Linked DNA regions of Pelodiscus sinensis. Each later gene encodes a partner of the first gene's protein in a complex. Links are inferred from orthologs where the notes say so. Each region holds a gene or a part of one and is shown in the gene's direction. Other genes may lie near its edges.

Region 1 (7,583 bases):
CTCTCCCTCCTCCTCCTCACACACCCAAGTTCATGAATGAATGTTGATTGGCTCATTGTAAAGATGATTCTCGGGAAGGGGAGGAGGGGGGTACATAGCAAGGAAAAAACTTTGTATATGACTTTTAAAACAAAAGAGGACAACAGTATTTTTCAAAATTGTATATAGCGCATATGCATGGACAAAGAGCAAGCGTGGCACGTGTTTGCATAATGTTTAATTACAAAAAATATTTATTCTTTAAAAATCTTCAAGATTATGTCTATTTGCTGTGCATTTTCTTTGGGTTTGCTTTTTTTAGCCCGGGGATTGGGGTGGGGGAAGTGTGTGCTGGTGCAGTGACTCTTTTGAAGGCTTTTACGTGAGAAGTCAAGTTTCTCCTCTTCCTGCATCGTTGATTCCCTGGCCTCCATGGTTTGTGTCCATTGCTGGCAACGGAACTGTCCCCTCCTAAGGCAAACCGATTAACTTGGTGTGCGTTTCATTAGAGACGAATGCATGTTGCCATTCAGGATGCTTTGTCTTTTTCACCCAGAATGTTATCTGCCCAAATCAAACCTAGCTATTCCCATGCCACCAGGACCTGGGCTCTGAACCTGGCTAAGAATCAAACCTATAAGAAGTGTGTTAGGAATTTTTCGTTTGATGGAGGAAAAGGGGGGTACTCGCTGACCACTTCTCAAAGAGCATTGAAAGAGTTTAACTGTGGATCTCCTCCCCTTTCCCGTTTGGTATCAAATGGAACATTCCTTGCTGGTTTGAGTTTCACTTACGTTATTACAAATGGTGACGTTAAAAAGGAAGATGGTGGAATTGTCTGTTTGTTTTGGGCTCAGTTATTGGGCAAACTATCCTGGCAAATATTAAACACTCCATCTAGTGCAGTAGCAATTGAAATCATTGGGATATTTTTTCAATTAAAAGGGTTAAGAGTTCTAGCTACTGCGTCCATTTTTATTATTTCTGTAACAAGAGCTATGTTGAAGTACACAATTGGTGGTGGTTTTATTAAATTGACTTCTGTATAGGAATCCCTTCTGTGGTATTTTTCACCAGGCCATTGTCCTTAAAAGCTTGCTGACAACCTACCAAGTTCAGGGGGCAGGAATAAAGGGGGAGCTGAGGCAGTCTAGAGAGAGGTTCCCAATATGAAACACCAGTCTGTCATTTCCTTCAGCTCTCTTGCGCCTCTTGAAGATGCTGCTGAATTCAGACATCTACAGGTTAGCTTTGCGCTCCCACTCTTGCTGTGCGTCACCTTTCCCAACGGCTTGTTTGCCTCAAGCCCTCATGCAGGACTGCCGTGAAGCAGAATGAACGCATGCACCCCACTCACCAACTTGTGTCCTGTGCACATCTCTTTAGACAGCTGCTGTGGGGGGAATTAATGTGAGGGTGTGTCTGTCTGAAGAACTCTGTTCTAATAGCCTGGGCGCCCCACAACAGAGACATCACCAAAGAACATCAGGCCTCACTTCTCATTTAAAGAGTCCTATCATTGCAGCACTCTAGCTCTTGAAAATATATTCCCTTAAATGTAAATGTGAATCAAAATGCTTCCTAAAATGGCATCTCTGCCTGGAGCTAGCAGTGATGTGTGGGTGGGAGTCCCCTGAAGTGTTCCACAGTTAGCTGTTTAAATGTCCAGTGGTTCCCTCCCCTGAGAACTGAAACCCAATGTACATGCAATTTCAGCTCCTAACATGAAGGGACATATTGTGTTTTTAAATCGTGAGCTGTATAGACCTTATCAACTGATTAAAACTGCCATCTCCCATGTTGTGTTTAAGTTGTGCATGGGCCACCTGTCTCTGATTATTTACTTGCTGACTCTTTATCCCAGCTCTTGTACTCTAATTCTCCATACTTATTGAGAATTATCCTTTTCAGTAGTGCCAGCTGCAGAATCTCTTGCTGAGTGTGAGACTGTTTGATCATTCACGTAAGTTGGCAGGCCCTTCCCTTAAGGGCAAATATTTGTGGTTAGGAGGTATGGACTGGCTGTTTGATAGCAATATGCAAAATACTGAATGGGCCTCAGTAACTTGCTCTGGGGCTAACTCTGTGACAAGGCCCCACCAATAGAAGGCAAATCCGAACAGCTTGTCTTCAGAACCCTACAGTCCCTGTAGCTCACTGTGGCTCTGGTGATATAGGGATCAATGACTGCCTGGTGTTTAGCTCCTTTTAGTATGACCACAGTATTGAAGTTAAGAGTGAAGTAAATCCTCAGCCACAAAACACACACATGCTCTATCCTCAGCTTTTGGCTGACGGGGCCCTATTCAGCACTTGGGGGATGGTATGACAATCAGACTGGCGGGTTGATGGATCCATGACTCCTACCTTCCAATTTTCCATCCGGAGAGCACCTCGTACTGTGGAAATAATTGTTCTTAGGTAATTTCATTGTAACTGCTGGAATGTTGCCATGTTAAGGTTAGAGGGAGAGAAAGCATTCCTAATGCTAATAAACATTTATTTTGTTAATTTTATTAGTTATTTTTGTGTTTGTCATAAATTGCTAAGGTATGTTGATTGGTGGTTTGATTAGGAGGATCTGTTCATAGCTTGTCTGTCTAAAATAGTGACCATGACATCACAGGACGTATAGGTCTGGATTTTTCTTAGTGGCCACTTGGATTCTGATGTCAGTCTCATGGCCGAGTGGTCAGGATGATAGTTTCTTAATGTCCATATGTTATAAATGAGCTGCCAAGCCCTCCCGGTGAGAGAGGTGGTGACTGCTCGTAAAAGCCGTAGTACCAGTCTCTTCTTGAAATGTGTGCATAGGGAAAGAGGAATGTGTATGTCAGAGTGGGGTAGCTTCCTCCACTAACTACCCAGTCATTATAGAAATGAGCCTTTATAGGTTCCAGCAGTCCATGAGCAGAGGCAAAGCTTGGAGCTGATTAGCCCTTCTGATGACTGTCTGCAACCAGATGTCAAAAGGCATCCAAAGAGCCAAGGAATTTATGCTACAGATTTCAAGAATAATACTGTTTTGGCTCTCCATCCAAAGCTGCAGTTCTTGTATTTACACAAAAACGCCACGGTCTGGGTATCTTCCTCCCTTCTTATGGACTGATACTCTGATTCTTCAGTTGTAGCTACTTTACTTGGCATGGGGAAAGAATAGTACAATGACTTGTGAGTTTGAAAGAAGACATACAGTTAGATAAGGGAATGAGATTACAGGTGCTTAAAGTAATAACAGCTTTGGGGCAGGATCAAATAAAAAACCCTTTCATCCTAAATATTTTAAATGGGGGGAGGGGGGAGAACTGAATATTCAATGTCATCGCTTAGGAGTCTTAAGTTCTCATTGCCCTAGTTTGTTGAAAACAGTGTCAAGTTCCCTGTATGTGTTTGTGAAATACTGTTTATTTAAAAGTCCCACTTTCTGTAAACTCCAAAGTATGAGAGCAGTGAACTCACTTCTTCCATGCCATCACCTCTCCTCTCTCTCAGCAAATCGTAAGTATACTGAAGCTGTTTAAACATGCTTGCTGGGATCATTTAACTTTTAACACTGCCACAAGAGCCACCCTGACCCCACTCTCCACAGGATTTTGATTTTAATCACGTTTATTTTTATCTCTGTCCAAGTCTTGCTAGTAAAGGCACATTTGAAAAAGTGACAAGCACATTTTTAATGGTCTAGTTTAATACTTAATTTCAGCTACTCTTTCTTCCTAATTGAGCCTGGGTCCTCAAAGGGATTTAACTGAGCATGCTCAGCACTTAAGTACCTAACCGGCTCTGGCCCTTAGTGTCAACCTTTTTAAGGGCAAGCCCAGATCTAGCTCAAATATAAATAACCTTGCTCTGCTCCCCCTGCTCCTTTTCCTCAGGCTGGGGCAGAGGGTTGGGGTGTTGGATTAAGGAATGCCGAGTGCGAAGGGCTCGGGGCTGCTCTTGGGCCAGGGCGCGGGGCTGCCGAGGGGTTCCGGCAGGGTGTGGGGTGCAGGAGGTGGTCCGTGACTGGGGTAGGAGTGTGGGAGGCGGCTTCAGCTGGCTCGTGCTGACCGCGGGGTTCGTGGGGGTGGTGCAGTGGGGCCTCTGGCGCATTCCCATAAGCAACCGGCACGCTCCAGCCCAGTCCTGTTATATCTCCGCGCCCAGCCCAGCCAGCAGGAGGCTCCCAGGGGCAGAGACGAGCAGCGGGGGGAGGGGCTGTTGAAGTGACAGACTCTTACTCGTCTCCTTCCTCCCTTTCTCCCCTCCCCCCCCCGTGGGGCCAGACCCGGGGCGGGGGAGCCCACCCCCCGGGACGGGCCTGTGCCTCGGGCTAGCTGCGGGGAGGGGGCAGCCTCCGCGGACAACCGGAGTGGCGCTGCTACGAGCGGTTTGAAACCCAGCCCTCGAGCAGGCGGGGGGGGGGGGGCGGCTGCTGCCGTTGCCATGACAATGCCTCCGCGGCTCCGCCTCCCAAGGGGCGTGTCTGTGCGGCGGCTCCTAACGCCTGGACCAAGCGCGGCCGGCTCCGCCCTGGGCAGCTTGCATGGGGGGAGGGGGGCAGTATGAGCGGGTCGGGGTCTACTGTGACGTCACAGTCCCGCGCTTCCGCAGCCCCCTCCCTCTGCTGGCCGTCGCGCTCAGGGTACGTCACGCGCCCCGGGCTGGCCTGGGCCCATTGACGTCACCGAGTCCCTAGAGCCTGGGAGGTGGGGGGCTCCGCGTCGCTCCGCGCGCTCCTAGGCAGCCGGACCTAGTAGGGGACGTTGCTATGGCAACCAGCCGTCGGGCTTCGCGATTGGCTGGACACAGCCAGAAGGCCCCCGGCCGGCATCGCCCCTAGACGTCAGTGCGAGGCTCTTTCCGGCGGGCGCGGTGGTTGTCGGTCCTATGGCCCGCCCCTCTCTATGGGTCCGCTCAGCTGGTAACCAGGGAAACGGACAACTTCCGACGCCGAGCAGGCCTGTGGCGGAGCGCTGGCGGAGCCGGTGAGAGGGGGCGGGGCTGGGGATACCGCGCCAGACCCCGCCCGCGCGGCCTCGTTGCGAGTTCAGTATCTGGGGGGGGGGGCAGTGAGGGGCCCTCCCCAGGGGTGGGGGTCGCTCTGGTGGGCCCGGGCGGTGCCGCCTAGTGCTGCTGCCTGAGCCCTGCACGGGCGCTGGCGCCGCCCCCCGCCCCGAGATCCGTGCCCAGCCCCCCGGAAACGGCCCCGGCGGCAGCTGGGATCTCGGTGTCGCTCCACTCGGAGTTGGGTGCGAGGCTGGGGGCGCGGAACGCGAGCTCCTGGGCCTGGGGCGTGGCGGCGGGAGAACGCCGCCCGAAGACGCGCTCCGCACGTGGTGGGTCGGATCCCTGGCAGCGGGAAACACGGTTCAAGGGACTCGCGCGTGTTTCAGAGACGCTATTCAAGGTACAAGAGCAACTGTCCCACGGCCCAGGGGAGATGAGAAGGTTGAGAGGAGAGCGCCCTGGTTTAACTAGGAGAGCTGGGATGAGCTATACCTCTACAAGGACCCCACAAAAAGAGGAAACTAGCTTACCTTACAAAGAAGGAATCTAACCCCTCCCCCCCACAGGTATGTAGGGACAAAATTAGATAGGCCAAGGCTCAAAATGAGTTCAGATTAACTAGAGCATGGGTTCCCAAACTGGGTGTGTGTGCCCCCCTGGGGGGAGGCTTAAGAAATTCTGGGGGTGGGGGGTGCACAAGGTGACCCAGCCCACCTGTCAATGCCCCCATTGCCCCCCAAATTTCAATTTTTTTTTTGCTCAACAAGATTTGCTGCTATTTTGGGGGGGGGGGAGTGAGGGTTTCTCAAAAATCAAAAAGGGGGTGTGATGCCAAAAATTTTGGGAACCACTGAATTAGAGGAAGTCTATGCAGCAATGAGAAGACAGCAGCAATGACAGTGGCCAAAGCACTGGTTAGCACACTGTGCACAGTGCTGAAGGGCTGGCCAATGGGAGGCCGTGCCCCTTCTTGGAGCTGGCCCCCCCACACCTTGCCTAGGGACCCAACAATTCTGTAGCCCTCTTCTCATCCCCAGCTAGAGACATAAAGAATAACAAGAAAACATTCATTCTACAAATATGTTAGAAGCAAGAGGAAGACCAAAGACAGGGTAGTGAATCAATGAAAGGGGAAAATAGTAACCATAAATGTGCAAATGGCAGAGGTGCTTAATGACATCTTTGTTTCACTTTTCACCAAGAAAGTTGGTGGCTGTTGGATACCTAACGTAATGAATGCTGGTGAAAATGAGAAGGTTCAGAAGTTAAAATAGATTCAGATTAATAATTGTTTAGTCAAGTTAAATGTCTTCAGGTCACCAGGGCCTGCTGAAATGTACCCTAAAATTCTCAGTGAGCTGACTGAGAAGTTATCTGGGTCTATTAGTTTGCTTTATAACTGACTGCACTGCATTCTCAGGCTGGGCTCTGACAGTCAAACTGGTCTTATTCTGGTTCACACAGTTTCAAAGAGGCAAAATGTCATCCTTGGGTGTTTTAACAGGAGTGTTGTATGTACAATGCAGGAGGAAATTGTTCCAGCGGACATGGCATCGTTGAAGAGTATTGTGTCCAGTTTTGGACACTGGTCTTTAAGAATGCTGTGAGCGTCCAGGGGAGAGCTTACCTACATGATTAGAGGTTTAGAAAAATTGACCTATGAGGAAAGGTTGACAGAATTGAGCATATTTAGTCTACAAAAGAGAAGGCTGAGGAAGGACATAACAATCTTCAACTATGTAAAAGATTGTTTGCAGAAACCATGATCAGATGTTTTCCATATCCACTGAGGGTAGGACAAGAAGTAATCAGCTTAGTTTGCAACAAAGGAGATTAAGGTTCGGTATTAGGAGAAACTTTCTAGCTATAAGTGGAAATAAGGACTGGAACAGGTCATGTAGGGTGGTTGTAGATTCCTCGTCACTGGAGGTTTTCAAGAATGAGTTAGATAAACAGCTGTCAGGGATGGGTCTAGGATTACGTTATCCTGCCTCAGTTCAGAGGGCTGCACTAGATGGCTTCTTGAGATCCTTTCCAGCCCTAAATTTCTGTGATGATAAGTCACTTAATAATTCTGATAATGATGAGTGATATAGAACAGAATCCAGTTTGCTCACTCAGGGCGGTCAGGCTAATACAAATAAAATGCAGTCACTAGAATGAGCAGGTTCTGAATACCCCCAAGGGATATTGGTGGAGAAAGATACTGGTCGCTAGAGTAGTACTTTGCTGTAACAGTGGGTTTGTAAGGAGAGCATCTGACCCCTGCTTCCTTTCAGAAATAGAGTGAACCACTGGTGTCAAATGTTATGAACATTTTGGTACCCCCAGCTGCGGAGTTTGGCAAGTAACAGCTCTCAGTGAATTCATCCCAAGATCAATTTGTTTTCAGATGAAAATCAATTTAATTTTGACAGACAAATTGTTTAATTGCTGCATTTCAGCTTGGCATGGCACATCTGGTAAAAGGATTATGCCCTGAAAGCCTGTGTGTGACCTACTTTTATTTAAATCACTTGAGCATGGTGTTAAGAATTTTTCAGTTTGGCATTAGGCTGAAACTATTGACAGTTTGATCTGTGAAAAGTATAATGTAAAATCTTATCACAAAGCAG
Region 2 (8,169 bases), on another chromosome or scaffold:
TCATTGTCTTCGGTCCACCCTCTCTGGGGCACCTGGTGCTGGCCACTGTCGGCAGACAGGATACTGGGTTAGATGGACCTTTGGTCTGACCCAGTACGGCCGTGCTTATGTTCTTATGTTTATATCACTCAGCCTCCCCTCGTAGGTCATGTGCTCCAGCCCCCTAATCATTGTGGTTGCCCCCTGCTGGACCCACTCTAATGCGTCCACATCCTTTCTATAGTGGGGGGCTCAGAATCGAATACAATACTCCAGATGTGGCCCCACCAGTGCCAAATAAAGGGGAATAGTACAAGGATGCTGATTAAAAAGATATTCTGGTTTATTTCTGACTGGGCCATTTACCATTTTAACAAATTAGTGTCAGATAGATTTTCAGGATATGTCTAGACTACATGGTCCATCGACAAAGCCATGTAGATGAGTTTACTAGACATAGGAAAATGAAGCGGCGATTTAAATAATCGCCATTTCATTTACATCAAAATGGCCACCGCGCTGTACCGATCAGCTGTTTGGCGGCACAGCGGGGCAGTCTGGATGTGCTGCGGTCGACAAGGGACGCCTTTGTCGACCACTCCAGTATGCCTCGTGAAATGAGGCCTGGGGGAGGGGGAAGGGGGATCAGCAGGGCCTTCATGGGCTGGATTCACCTGCTTGGCGGGCCAGATCTGGCCTGCGGAGGCTCCTTTGCCCACCCCTACTTTAGACCATCCAATGGGCCTGCTGCCTAGCATTCAAGTGAGCACAGGGAAACATGCCCAAGTGAAATCAAAACCAGAAAGAAAACTTATTAGGGAAACAATTATTTCCTCATTCTCTTTTGATCATTGATCCTCTTACCGTTGGGTATAAATTTAATGAGCTTTTTTCCCCCAGCTAATATCAATTTGGGGAACATTACCAGAATCTGCAGTATCTCACTTCATCTAGAGGGGTCACTAATACTAGCTGGCTGCGTCAAGTCTGGCATGATTTTGCGGAAATACTTTTAACAGAAAAGTTTGTCTGTTAAAAGTATTTCCGCAAAAGAGCGTCTAGATTGGCTCGGATGCTTTTGCACAAAAAGTGCTTTTGCGCAAAAGCATCCATGCCAATCCAGACGCGCTTTTGCTCAAGAAAGCTCCAATGGTCATTTTAGCCATCGGGCTTTCTTGCACAAAAAATTAAGGTGCCTGTCTACACTGGCCCTCTTGCGCAAGTATTCTTGTGCAAGAGGGCTTTTCCCTGAGCGGGAGCATGTAAGTATTTGCGCAAGAAGCACTGATTTTGTACATTACAAAGTCAGTGCTCTTGCACAAATTCAAGTGGCCAGTGTAGACAGCTGGTAAGTTTTTCCGCAAAAGCAGGTGCTTTTGCGGAAAAACTTGCCAGTTTAGACATAGCAGCAGAGTGTGCGGTTAGCAGGTTTACAAATGTTATCTGTTCTTACATGTGTGCTTTTCCTTCTTCAAATTGCTGCAGTAAAGGGCAGCTTGTACAGGCCACACAAACAATATCATTAGCAAAACCTAAAATTACATTTCAGCTTGGAATTGAATTAGTATTTGGATACCATATACGTTCAGAGCCAGGAAGCTGATGCAGCATTTACTGACTTGTGTGTTAGTGCATGACAGGCACGCCCTGAATTACATACATCCAACTTACAAACATCCACACATACAAACAATTGCTCTCCTGCAGCCACAGGGGAGCAGGCAAGAGGTGGCAACAAGCGGCACGGGTGCGGGCCGTCGTACTCCGGAGGAGCAGGGAAGTGGTCATACAGCCACAGGATGGAGAGAAGCAGCATTGTTAAGGGGAAACCGCTACTTCTCACTAGCCGCTGGCTGCATGGCTGCCCCCTGCTCCTCCTAAGTCCCCTTGTTGAGTGAAGGCTGGATGCAGCCCCAGGGAGGCACTGCAGAGCCTGCAGTGGGGAGGAGAAATGGCAGCTGGGGAATGGCCAGAAGTCCCCTTTAGAATCTCCACCTATCTTCTCATCCTTATTTAATGAAACCTGCCTTTCTGCAAGCACACCAACATTCAAGGTTAAATAAAAAAATATTTCTGATATTTTTCATTGCAAATATACAGTATTTCAGCTATATTATGGGTTTAATAGGGTTTTGTGGGCTAGTCAGGGAACCTAGCTACCATTTATAACATTGTTTCTATGGGAAAATGTGTTCCGGGTTCCAAAGAACCGGCTTACAAACAAACTTTTGGAACATAACCTGATCGTAAGCTGGGGACTTCCAGTTCTTCCTAGAGCTCTTCACTGAAAGTTACTACTAATGGTAAAGAATTGTCTAACAAACAGGTTCTGCATGTATGTGAGAGTGATGCGGGGAATGCTGGCAAATCTGGTTTTGCTGCATTTGTCTTTTAGCATTTAAAAATGCCCCTAGCCTTTGACTACATTTTAAACAGTGGCACCACTCATACTGCAAATTGTAGGACATCAGATTTGATCACACTAATCAGAATTTGAAATCCTGAGAAACCACTAATGGGCAATTCTCTTGATACAGGTTGAACCTCTCTAATCCAGCACTATCCATGGTCTGACATGATTTTATTTGGCTGGATGTCTGCTTATCATGGGTGTGGCCACGTTTCCCACAGTCCCATAAAGTTTGTTTACAGTCACCAGCCCTGGCTCTCAGTGTTCTGTGCTGTTATTTAGCTCTAATTTACCCCTGTCAGGTTCAAGTTCCCTGGCTCATTCAGTTTTCTGAGGCTGACAACAAAGGCACAATTCAGGATATGGCTGCTGGGCAGCTTCTGTGCTGTGAAATCAGACAGAGGTTCAGCAAATCCTTTTGCAAATATATCATTTAACAAGCTGTCAAGTGATAACTTCTTATAGCCTCCAACCTAGGCTGGACTTAGAGCTAAAGGCAAAGGGCTATTCCCTCCAGCCCTTTTCCAGAACATCCTGCACGCATGTCAAATGGGAAATCTGGCTGGTTTTTAACCCATCAGGACAGATTTTGTAGTGCTGTGATGGTTCCTGGTGAAAAGCTATAATGCGCTGGGCTTGTTTCCACATGGGACTAGGGATGTAAATACCCCTTAAAAATGTTAACTGATTACACGATATAACTTTAATTGGTTAACCAAGGTCTCCAGACCAGGCCTCTGTGGGCAGCAGAGCTGCTCCAGCTTGCTGGGGTCCCACCATGCCATGGGTGGGGGGCTGCTTTCAGCCCGGCCCCGCACATCCCAGTGGGCCCAAGCAGGCTGGAGCGCCTCTGCCCGCAGCACGGTGGTCCTGGCCAGGCTAGAACAGCCTCCTTCCCGCATTCAGCAGAGGTCTGCTTCAGCCTGGCTGGGCTGCCAGTTAACCAGTTACCCGGTGAAAAGCTGCCCAGCACCAGCGATGCTTACTGGGTAACCAGTTAACCTTTACATCCCTACCTGGGACCAACATCCCCTGTAAAATACAAACACACGCAGCTGTGCATCGATCTTTAACTACCACACACATCACACTGAAGGGGCATGGCCAGAGCCTGGGTCCCCTTATGTGCTGGGCCTTCAACCAGCTCAAACTACAACAGACCCAGGAGCAGGTTGAGGGGAGAGAGCTCTTGGGCAGAAGCCATCCAGGCAGCATTGAAAATACATTAAAACCGCTTATAGATCCTGTCCTATTGCAACCCGGGTACCTTTTAATAGCTTCCTGCTGGCTTTTGCTGCAGCTCACCCAGCTCTTGCCAGAGCTACACACCTGGGTGCATCTGTTTACTTTCACCTGTGCCTCCAGGACAGAGGTGGTGGCTTGTTTGTCGTTCTGAAAGGAGAAAACCCATACAGCAGAGTCTAGAGTAGCTGGCCCCCAAGATAGAGAGACTGAAAACAAAGGCAAGTCAGATACCAGAGCCAGGGGCGGATATAGGGCAGGGTGAACGGGGCGGCCGCCCCGAGCCCCGCGCTTCAAAAAGCCCCGCGCATGCGCCGTGGCAAAGGGGGGCCCCCGCGGAATTATGCTGCCCAGGGCCCTGCAAAACGGTCATCTGCCCCTGACCAGAGCATGCACCAGGTCGCTAATCATGTTCAGCCTGAGGGCCGCATGCCGGCAACCATGGGCAGTGGGTGAAGGTAGGGCTAGGCTTGCTCAGCCCAGCCCCACCCCTCCTACCCAGGCTCTGCCCCCATGTGTACAGTAGGGCTATGTCTACACTCACGGCTTCTTGTGCGAGTAATATGCAAATGATGCTAAGCGTGGAATATTGCTGAGCCTCATTTGCATACGTAATGAGCCACCATTTTTTTTCAGAAGAGGCTCTTGTGCAAGGAGGAGCATCTACACTGCCCCTTCTTGCGCAAGAAAAACCCTCTTGTGCAATGCCGTTACACCTATTACTTTTCAGGAAGAACGGCATTGCGCAAGAGGGTTTTTCTTGCACAAGAAGGGGCAGTGTAGACGCTCCTTCTTGCGTAAGAAGCCGCGAGTGTAGACATAGCCTAGGTGTTCTAGGGGCAGAGTCTGGGTGGGGCCTGGCTAGGGGTTTGGGAAGTCGATGCCCCCCCCAACCCCCCCAGCAGCCCAGGACAAGGCTTAATTTGCAATACACCAGGGCAGACTGAGGCACTATGAATTATGGAGGTGTGGGGTGCCAAGGCATTGCCTCCACCAGGACCCCACGGACTGCACCCCTAGCATACAGCAGCCCTAACCTTCCCACTGTAGTAAAGCCACCAGAGTTCCCAGCCCCAGTATGCAGTGTGCTACCCCAACCGCGGACTACAATTCCCAGCATGCAGTGGGGTCCCCTACCACGCTTCTCCGCACGCAGTGAGGACAGGGACGCACGGGAAAAGACAGCGCAATGCATGGTGGGAGCGATTGTTATTGAAAGGACACTGCGCCTGCGTTGAAGCATTGTATGCACTGCGCATGCGTCTACTCGCCCTGCTGCTGGGTCAGCTAACGGTGATTGGCCGCGGAGCGGCCTGACCGCGCAGGCGCACGGAGTCAGGCAGGTTTCTCCTGACCCGACAGCGCCCCGGACACCGCTATGCCCGAGGGCAAGTCCCCGCTCCGGGAGGTGCTGCCCAAGCAAGGTGACCGCCCCCTGCTCGGGCCCCTGCCGCCCCCACAGGCCGCCCGCGGGCGGGGGAGGGAGGGGGGGGGGTCTCGCCGCCTGCGCTGCCGCCCGGGCACCCCGCTCAGCCCCAGGCGGGTTGGGGGAGGGGGAGTCGGGCGCGCAGCGAGGGGGGCGGCTCCCAGCGCGAGGAAGGTCCCGCGCGCCTGGTCCCCGCCCTCTCGCGCTGGGGGCGTTTGGCGCGCGGAGCCTGGGCTGCACGCGCTGACGTCAGCGCTGCCCCGCTCAGTAGCAGTCAGGTCCCGGGGCCCGCGCTGCTAGCTCAGGGGCTGGCAATGGTTCTCGGGGGGGAGGGGCATTTCGTGGCGTTTGCCATGGCCCCGGGGCACGACTGGGGAGTAGCCTCCCGCCAGCCTTATCTGGAGCTTTGAATTAAAAACCTAGCAAAGGGGCTGACAGCGCCTGGCCCCAGGGCAGCCGCCCAGGGTTGCTGCAGCAATTTTAAGGGCTCCCCTGCCAGGGTAGCACCACAGCTGGGAGCCTTTTAACGAGGATCCTGCTACCTGAGTCACCTTCTGGAAACTTGATGGCATGGGCAGCACAATATAAAGAGAAAGTGACCAGATAAGGTCCATGGGGGCAACATCAAAGTGTTAAGCAGCATCTTGCTTGCCCAGCCTTGATCTAGCCCATCCTGTCTAATCTGCTCTTAAATCTCTCCAGTGACAGCTACACCCTCCTAAGACAGTTTTTCAGTGCTTAACCACCCTGACTGCTAGGAGGTTTTCCTACTGTCTGACCTAAACCTCCTTTACTGCAATTTAAGCCCATTGGTTTTTATCCTATCATCAGAGATTAAGACAAGGTTTTTTTCCTACTTGTAACACTTTTAGGTACTTGAAAATGCCTCATGTTCCTCTCAGTCTTACCTCTTTTCCAGTCTAAACAAACCTTTGAAATTTTCATATCATCTGCTCCTTTTTCCCACCCCCTTCCATTTCCCCCCATCTTCTCCCCTATTTATTTTGGGTCTGCACAACCTAAACTCAAAACTCGCATCATCTGAAGAAATGGGCTATGCCCATGAAAGCTCATGATACCATCTACATGTTTTGTTAGTCTATAAAGTGCTACCAGATCATTTGTTGTTTTTTTAAGTTCATCCAATTCTTTCAGTCTTCCCTCATAAATCATGTTTTCTAGACCTTCTTGTTGCTCTTCTGGATGTTCTCCAGTTTCTCCACATCTTAAGCATATAGCAGTTTTGACAACTTCTCATTAAAATTACTAGTTCTAGAAATTAAGTTTGAAAGTTGGGATTGCAGATAGTGTTTCCTCTAATCTTTTCCATCCTGTACAGAGTTTTTCCATCCATGTGTGCTATATATTTGTGCAGTCAGGCATGTGCACCCCCAACAGAGACAATATCTAGCTGTGGGCATTCTACTAATCAGCTGGGTGGCATTTTATTTTCTCCTGAGCAGCCACAAAAGTGCACAGTTAACAGAAAATACTACTTCCAGGGCTGCTTTCAGATAACCTATAGCACTGAGTTCTAGCATCTGTGCTGATAAAAATGTAAGAAATGAAAGCTGTCCCCAAAAAATAAGGCATGGTGTTATATAAGTAATCTGCTAATATGCTTGGCTACTGTTGGAAAGCTGAGAATCCTAGTCATTAACTTGATTTTTTTGGAGACAAATATAAGGAATAATGATAGTCTAAAAAAAGTCTGTCTTTTTTGCATAGATCTGAATATATATGAGTCCCAAACCATGGCCTTGTGACTCTTCATTTCCTGAAAAAAAAAATTTTTCTTATGGTTCAAAGACTATGAGCCCGCTTCTGAAAAGCAGGCCAATTCTTTGAAGTTAATGACTCATGTTTTTGCAAACCTTTTCCCAAAAAGAACAGTATATTCTTTTTGAAAGCTAATACTATCTTGTTCAAAATTAAGTATTATCTAGGCTTTCTAAGACATTTGATGCTCTTATTTCAGAAGTATTTGTACTTGGTAGTAAAATGGATGCCAATTACATGAAATTTACATACTCTTTTTTTTTCTTTCTACATTTCAGGGCAACTGTCAGTAGAGGATGTGGCTACCATGGTATTATGCAAGCCAAAATTGTTGCCTTTAAAATCTGTTACCCTAGAAAAGCTAGAGAAAATGCAGCGAGACGCACAGGAAACAGTTCGCCAACAAGAAATGGCACAAAGGGAGCATCAGCAACAAAGCCAGCAATAGAGTGCAAAATGATTCACCCCTTTTAAGAAATATTTTACCTAAATACTGTATCTTAATCTAGTGATTTGCTGTACAGTTACTAAAAAAGAGTTCAGAAATGGTAGAAGTCCCTTCTAAGCTTTCTTAGTTGGTGTCTTTTATTGTACATATTACATATTACAAATGTCTATAGATTTTGCTGAAGATGTGTGTTTTGGTTAGTATGCTTACCCCTTTCTGTGCAGTTGCATCTTATCTTTTTTTTTAATCTCTGTAATTGTGGGTTCCTCCCCCCCCCCCCAGCGCTTCCTAAGGAAATCCCCATTTTAAAAGGCCATTTACAAAAAATGATCTGGGGTCTTCTAATGTTTTGCTGATGGTCTCATCTGCCATACCAAGATGTTAGGGTGGGTGGAAACACTCTGACAAGAGGAATGGGTATTTGTTAAAATCCCTAATCAGTTCCCTTGTTGCTGGCTAACCCCCACAATCTGCCTGCCTGGATTGTCCTGCCCCATTTCCAGTGGTCCCTGTTGAACAGGCAAGGTCTTTGTTCTAATCAGTAGTGCTGGGGCTTTTGTAATAACCCTTGTTTCTTTAACAGATTTGGGATAGGTAATACCAATACAGCTACTCATTCCATTACTCTTGAACAGGTATATAAATCGTTCTGGGGCTCTGGACAAGGTTTGCTAGAAAAGCAGGCTGCTGCTTTAACTTACCACAAAATGGCATATATCAGTTCTAGGATAAAACTGATAGGCTACGTCTAGACTGGCATGATTTTCCGCAAATGCTTTTAACGGAGAAGTTTTCCGTTAAAAGCATTTTCGGAACACAGCGTCTAGATTGGCACGGACGCTTTTCCGCAAAAGCACTTCCGTGGCAAATCTAGACACGCTTTTC

The links.
Region 2: the proteins of BBS4 (region 1) and BBIP1 are in contact, whole or in part, in a cryo-EM structure (PDB 6VBV), measured with the Bos taurus proteins. The link is inferred for Pelodiscus sinensis from reciprocal best matches to the Homo sapiens genes BBS4 and BBIP1. Residues at the interface, in NP_001069424.1 of Bos taurus: Leu210, Leu213, Tyr236, Leu240, Ala241, Ser244, Gln247, Thr248, Ser269, Pro271, Asn274, Asn275, Met278, Phe281, Gly282, Lys284, Tyr298, Leu299, Pro301, Leu302, Asp303, Trp304, Lys305, Ile306, Tyr308, Asn309, Leu312, Leu315, Thr316, Gln318; in XP_003587939.1 of Bos taurus: Met7, Phe8, Arg9, Glu10, Val11, Leu12, Pro13, Lys14, Gln15, Gly16, Gln17, Leu18, Tyr19, Val20, Glu21, Asp22, Leu28, Lys30, Pro31.

The regions. Positions count from the first base shown.
Region 1 is NC_134724.1:37,826,494-37,834,076, forward strand, and holds the start of BBS4 (BBSome complex member BBS4), read left to right. Parts: upstream 1-4,515; 5' UTR 4,516-4,946; intron 4,947-4,983; exon of another isoform or gene 4,984-5,368; intron 5,369-5,384; exon of another isoform or gene 5,385-5,534; intron 5,535-7,583.
Region 2 is NC_134718.1:66,894,107-66,902,275, forward strand, and holds BBIP1 (BBSome-interacting protein 1), read left to right. Parts: upstream 1-4,896; 5' UTR 4,897-5,009; coding exon 5,010-5,055; intron 5,056-7,114; coding exon 7,115-7,284; 3' UTR 7,285-7,467; downstream 7,468-8,169.